2 linked regions of the Oryzias latipes genome follow. The protein of the gene in region 1 purifies or fractionates together with the protein of each later gene. This does not show direct contact. Links are inferred from orthologs where the notes say so. Each region holds a gene or a part of one and is shown on either strand. Other genes may lie near its edges. The genes, in order: ndufaf5 and ndufaf8.

What was found.
Region 2: the proteins of ndufaf5 (region 1) and ndufaf8 purify together in Homo sapiens (affinity purification with mass spectrometry; 3 studies listed by BioGRID and IntAct, counting the BioPlex papers as one, with this or other methods). This does not show direct contact. The link is inferred for Oryzias latipes from reciprocal best matches to the Homo sapiens genes NDUFAF5 and NDUFAF8.

What each region holds. Positions count from the first base shown.
Region 1 is NC_019859.2:650,391-653,348, forward strand, and holds the end of ndufaf5 (arginine-hydroxylase NDUFAF5, mitochondrial), read left to right. Parts: intron 1-896; coding exon 897-980; intron 981-1,395; coding exon 1,396-1,478; intron 1,479-1,909; coding exon 1,910-1,996; 3' UTR 1,997-2,156; downstream 2,157-2,958. Other genes in the region: uncharacterized protein LOC105358217, read left to right, coding at 2,882-2,933. UniProt on the Homo sapiens protein: Arginine hydroxylase that mediates hydroxylation of 'Arg-111' of NDUFS7 and is involved in the assembly of mitochondrial NADH:ubiquinone oxidoreductase complex (complex I, MT-ND1) at early stages. May also have methyltransferase activity.
Region 2 is NC_019877.2:3,983,033-3,986,697, reverse strand, and holds ndufaf8 (NADH dehydrogenase [ubiquinone] 1 alpha subcomplex assembly factor 8), read left to right. Parts: upstream 1-1,568; 5' UTR 1,569-1,743; coding exon 1,744-1,824; intron 1,825-2,606; coding exon 2,607-2,717; intron 2,718-2,798; coding exon 2,799-2,819; 3' UTR 2,820-3,105; downstream 3,106-3,665. Other genes in the region: AP-4 complex accessory subunit tepsin, read right to left, coding at 242-323, 409-476, 560-653, 736-827, 956-1,028, 1,297-1,335; slc38a10 (putative sodium-coupled neutral amino acid transporter 10), read right to left, coding at 3,588-3,665. UniProt on the Homo sapiens protein: Involved in the assembly of mitochondrial NADH:ubiquinone oxidoreductase complex (complex I, MT-ND1). Required to stabilize NDUFAF5.

The sequences.
Region 1 (2,958 bases):
CGAGTGTGGTGTGCACGAGTGTGGTGTGCACGAGTCTGGTGTGCACAAGTGTGATGTGCACGATTGTGATGTGCATGAGTGTGGTGTGCACGAGGGTGGTGTGCACGAGGGTGGTGTGCACGAGGGTGGTGTGCACGAGTGTGGTGTGCACGAATGTGGTGTGCACGAATGTGGTGTGCACGAGTGTGGTGTGCACGAATGTGGTGTAAACGAGTGTGGTGTGCACGAGTGTGGTGTGCACGAGTGTGATGTGCACGATTGTGGTGTGCACGAGTGTGGTGTGCACGAGTGTGATGTGCACGAGGGTGGTGTGCACGAGTGTGGTGTGCACGAGGACGGGGCTGGGGGGGGCCCGGAGCCTGCAGGAGGCTGTCGGGCTCCGTGATCGTCTTCAACCGGGAGATGAAGAAGCGGCAGAAGGACTGGGCCGCGAGTGTGATGTGCACGAGGGTGGTGTGCACGAGTGTGATGTGCACGATTGTGGTGTGCACGAGTGTGGTGTGCACGAATGTGGTGTAAACGAGTGTGGTTTGCACGAGTGTGGTGTGCACGAGTGTGATGTGCACGATTGTGGTGTGCACGAGGGTGGTGTGCACGAGTGTGGTGTGCACGAGTAAGTGTCAGACAGACAAACGGACAGAAACGCAAACAAGAGACAACCGATGTAAAATGATCCAGCAATAGTTTTGTGAATCAACGCTGCGTTTGCTGAAGTCTTTCAGAAACATGAACAGATTTTTCCTCCACTGTCTTTGAAGTCCAGAAATCCAGATTATCACCTGGATTCTAATAATCTTGATGAGTTGGGTTTCTGTTGTTCTCCTTCATCAATGAACTGAAAGAGTTCAGGCCTCAACTGAAGCTTGGCATTGCCGTGGTTTCCACTGATCCTCTAGGGATGGGAGAGAGTAACTGCGCCTGGAACAGGAGGACGCTGCTGCACAGGGACACCATGCTGGCAGCTGCTGCCGTTTACAAAGGTGAGGTGGTTTCACAACAGCAGCACACTTTGCACTACACAACAACAACACACAACGAGCAGACACCAAGCTGTTCCCGGGGGAACCCCGTCACCTCCGCCGTTCAGCCGTTCGTCTGGGAGAACACGTGGAACGTCTTCCTTCAGCTGATGCAGAGATTCCAGCAGGAACCGTTTTTTTCCGGTTGTTGGGACTCCGGCGCCCTGAAGAGTCCCTCAATAGAAACCTTGTCAGGGTTCTGCAGAACACGACCCAAACTCAGCAGGACGGACGTCCTGAGGGAGGCGAAGCAGCTGGAGGAGGTGTGGCCTCACGCTTCCTGCTGACTCAGCTGCTGCTCCACCTGTTTCCTGGCTGCTCTGACATCACTTCCTGTTTGACCAGCTGTTTCTGATGTGACTCTGCCGTCTTTCAGAGATGTATGGGAGCGAGGACGGCGCCGTGCCCGCCACCTTCGAGATCCTCTACATGATTGGCTGGAAGCCTCACGAGTCTCAGGTGAGCGTCAGAGGTGAGGTAAAAACCCCGCCCACATACGAGCACGGCTCTGGCCTCAGAAAATGTTTGATCCCCTCTGGGCTTCATGGAGCGGCGGGACAGAACCTCATTTCATAGACTCACCTGTAGACCCTCAGGTAGACGTTCTGGCTCTTCAGAAGCCCAATGAGGGTCACGGAGGGCGAGGCGATCTCCTCCGGGGTTAAAAGTCTCAAAACAAGAACCAACCATGAAACTTTACTGTTCTGAGACGGAACACCGAAGCTCCCTGTGGAAAGGATGGCGCTTAGCCAGGAGACAGGAAGTGGGCGGGGCCTCTTCAAACCCCCGTTTGGACCCACAGCAGGGACAGAACCACAGAGGTTTTTGGGTTTTGGATGAGAAGATGACGTCACTGTAGAGACGTTTGAACTGAAGCTGCTGTTTTTCAGGCCAAACCGGCGAAGCGAGGCTCCGCCACCGTCTCCTTTGGAGACCTGTCGCGGATCGGCCAGCCGGGCCCTGACCACCAATCGTAGAACCACAGACCGGACCGAGCCGCTGCACTTCATGGACGGCTTGGTGTGGCGGTCCGGCACAGGCTGGTCTGGACCGGGTCGTGACCTTCAGCAGGACCTGCACAGAGATCAGCATCTTCTGTGGTTCGCTTCAGTCAATAAACTTCCTTGTCAGATCGGATGTGGTCGTTTTTGTCCGTCTTTGTTTTGAATTCAGTTCAATTTTATTTGTAGCCCAAAATCACAACAACAGTCGTCTCGATGGGCTTCTTAGTCAAACATGAACTCAAAAGGATCATGAATACAAAGAGTTCAATAGGAAAATACTAAAATGAACTAACAAACTGACTAAGCTATACTGGCATCCCTGCCCTTAGACCCCCCTTTCTGTGAGGAAAAACTCCTAAAAAAACGGATTCCGGAAAAAACGAAGAAACCTCAGGGGTGCCCACATGAAGGAGGGATCCTCCCCCAGGACGGACAGGCGATTTACCAGAACTCTTAGAGAAGAATTAACTTATCTAACTCTACAACTACATATATAAAAGTCCAGCAGACGAGCTTCATCCAGCCGTGGTTGGGGGGACAGTCAGGGGCGCGAGTCGAGCCGGAGACAGGAACCACATCCAGGTGTAGGAGCAGGAGCAGAGACGAGGTAAACGGTCAGGAACTGGAGCACGGATGAAACAACTGGAGTCTGGAAGAACTCGAAAGAAGGAAAGAGGGACAGTCCATGAATCACTGCAGCAAACAGAGGCATGGAGAACTAAATGATACATTTTTTTGCTGCGTTTGTTTTTCCGTGGCGAGCGAGCCGACCCCCTGCATGCATCATTTCCACGCGCTCTTCAGTCACGCCTTCCTCTTTCCGTCCAAACCTCACTTCTGCCTGCAGCGCCTGCAGACATGCTGCTCCTCGTCTGCCTCCTCTCGGCTGCAGGACTCCGCGTCTGCTCAGGTAACTGAAGCCCCTCATCGCCGCC
Region 2 (3,665 bases), on another chromosome or scaffold:
TTGCGGCGCCTTCCATCCGTGAAACCAGGGTTCGACTCCGGGCTGCTCCCTGTTCCCTTCTCTACCTCTGTGCCGGTCCCAAGCCCGGTTTGAGAAGGTTGCGTCAGGAAGGGCATCCGGCGTAAAACATTGCCAAATTTACCATGCGACTAGTTCGCTGTGGCGACCCCTGATGGGAGAAGCCGAAAGTGGAAGAAGAAGATAAAAAGTCAAAACACAGGTAAACCTAAATTCTACTCACCCATTCCTGGAGGGGCAATAGTGTGTGAAGACATGCTGCTTTTGGTATTAAATGAATCTGTGAAAAGTAATTGAGCCACTTCCTGTAAATGTAAACAATTAACACCTAGTAAGTAAATTCCAACTCAGTTTATAAACCAGGTAAAAAGAATACACCCAGTCTCGTACCTGTGCCGTACTCCTTACTTTCTGGTAAAGTGCTGAGCCATGGATGGGATCAGGAGGACCACTGTAAACTTATAAATGGACATTTTTCAACTTTAAAACCCCATTATCACGTGATACCTATGATATATTCCAGTGGTACAATCTCTTATACCTGATGCTTGCTGGATGAAGGTGGAGTTTCTTCTGAGTTCTGTAAGGAAATGATCTGAACCATGACCACAAAGGTGGACAAAAATCTTTAGCACCTTCAATAACCAGGAGGAGAACAGAGGTTACACTCAGTTAGATGAATGCAGAAATGAGTCTATGCCCAGATGTTGTTCTCACCTTAAGTTTGACGTGGCAGGACTCGACTTGCAGTCTCTCCAGGAGGTATTCAAGCAAACACTGACCACAACCCAAGGACTCATGGGATATTTCTAAAGTGTAATGGCAGTTAAGGGCATACTTTAGTAGTCAGTGTGTGTATTAAATGGAACAAGTTTTGCTTATCCGAAAAACAATGAAAACATTTTTTCCCCTTGATTAGGCCACCAACAAAGGATACTTCCAATCTCCTGAAAAAGGTAACCAGGACAGGGGTTTTCATCATCTGCTGTTGCCTTCATTAAGGTGGGAACCTGCAATAATTATGAGAAACTATCAACTTTTATTTATTAAAATAATGCTTCCAGCTTTAAAATCGTAGAAAATAATCTACTACTTTAATGGGTATTTAGAGACCCTAGCCTAAAATAAACACCATGCTAAAGAGTAGCAAGCAAGCTAGTAGTTAGCTAGCTAGGTAACTGCTACAAACAGGGGCGTCAAGCTACGTCGAGTCCGCCACGCGCTCCCAAAAAATCAACAGTTTTGTCTAGAAGCAAATTTTTTCCGAACTTTACTTACTTTTTGAATAAAAGCTAATCGTTCCAAAAATGTAGCCATGATTTAGCAGGTGTAGCCGCGGGTTCCTCATCTTTCTGAAGCTACTATAAGGAGGGCGTGGCTAAGGTGACAGGCAGCCAATCACCCTCATTACTTTGAGTCCTCCTCTACGTTCATTGGCGGATATTGGCACGCCTTAAACTGGATGACAACGAATCAGATACTGCGAGGGGAGTCACCCACTTTAGATTGACAGCAATATAAGCCAATCATAATATCTAAAAATGTAGAAAGGGAAGGTTTTAAATGACAGGGTCATCAAAATGGCGCTACCCGTAGTTTACACGAATTTTAAGCCTTTTTTATGACATTTTTTCCTCGTAAACATGCTCTAAGATTCCTAATCTAATACTCAAATAAAAGCCTATATGTGTTTTAAGGTTTAAAGACATAGATGCATATAGCAGCATGTCGGGCTCAAATGTTTGGACCAGAAGCCGGGAGAAAATGAGAAATTTCAGCGACATCTTTTCAAAGTGTGCCGACGAGGTGAGCCTTCTCAAATTAGTATTTTTCATCTTAATCTTATTTTGGTTAAAATATTCAGTACATAAATATGCAATAATAAACAAACTGTTTTGGGTGACTAAATATCGCATCAGTAGAAGAGTGGCATTATTTTGTCTGTTTTCTTGGATTCTAGCTTTGTTTTGCACAATTTGAGACTAAAGATTTGCGAGATAACTGCTGATCATTCTGGCCTGTTGACTATAAAAACCTCTACTTTGCATTTTCCAGCTGTTTTACCACAGCTGGGGTTACAAATGTGAACATTTATGTGTGAAATTGTCATTTCATGCACTCCTCTTTTAGAATATTTATTGAGCCCCTAATTCATTGGGAATTATTTGATACTGAAAAATACTTTAGTATCTGTTTAAGTTCAGGTGTAAATAGGAACTCAAATTATGATGCAACCACCACCATGTTTCATAGATGGAAAGCAGTTCATCTAACTACAAAATTAAAATTCTGACACTCATTAGAGGTATGCTATTATTTTTTTATATTTCTATACAAAATTCTCGATGTTAAAACATATTTTTACGTTTAAAAATATAATTATAAAGGTTCAACTCCATTTGCATTAAAGTATAAATCTTGGAGACATGTAAAAGTTTGTTTGCACAAATAAGTTAGATTTTCAGTATTTAACAAAAAAATATTTACAGGAAAACTAATTCAAGAAAACTTTGTACCGTCCATATTTGTGTAATTTTATTCTTTTTGGTGAGATTTGTTTTTCTTAATACAAAGCTGTTGTGTTGCAGGCTGCAGCGTATGGAAAGTGTGTCGCAGCAACAACGGCAGGCAGACAAGAGCTGAAGAAGGACCTGTGTGCCAAAGAGTTTGAGGCTCTAAAGACCTGCTTTGTGAAGGCTGTAAGCATCAGGAAGAAATCTTCCTGCTGGTTTGGACGGATGCTTGTGATGGATAATCATTTATCCGGTTCTGTTTTTCAGGCCAAACGTCACGGCAGATGACAACAAATAAATAAGAGGAGAAACCAGCCTGAAAACCCGCATGTGGAATCATTTATTCTTATTCTAATCCCTGATTCCTGTCAATATTTTACCTGATGCAGTTCTGTGGAGCTGGAAAGTAACTGTATATGCTGTAAACATTAACCAGTGGTTGATATTTTATTAGGTCTTATGTACAGAAATAAATTGCACATAGAAAAATACTTTTGGACAAAGTCAAGATCTGGAATGTTGAACCTCTAACAAATAAAGAAAATTTCTAAAAAGTTGTTTTGGAACATCAAAATATTTCAGAGTTTTTTTTTAATATATAAATAAAAGGGTTTGAAGCTGCAGCATCCGGACCAAGAAGGCACTAAGACATCAACTAGGAATAAATACTAAGAAAATGATTGAGAAATTCAGATTCAGTCCAAATGAGCAGTTTTTCTTAAACCTTAAGGCTACAACATGTGTATTTTAGCTCCAGCATGAAACTGAGTATTTAAAAAAAAATCCACATTTACAACTTCAGCAAATAAGAAACACACAAAAACCTCAACCAAACACTAAATATAACATTTGCTCAATAAAAATACACCTTTAATAGGATTTGCATAGATGTATTTACATTTTAATGTTGACCCCTTCTCCATTGTAACTTAAAATAAGTTAATATTTACATCGTTTCTCTTTGGATTGTCTTCAGAATACACAGCATCTAAGCGTTCTCGGTCTCCAGCCATTCTGCTGGAAAGAGCATAAGGCAACGACGTTGGGGGGTTTGTCTCATTTGGTCCCATCATCCTCTGGGGCTTGTTTAATCTGCCGTGAGTGCACCATGGCCCCGGCCACCAGCTGCTCCTC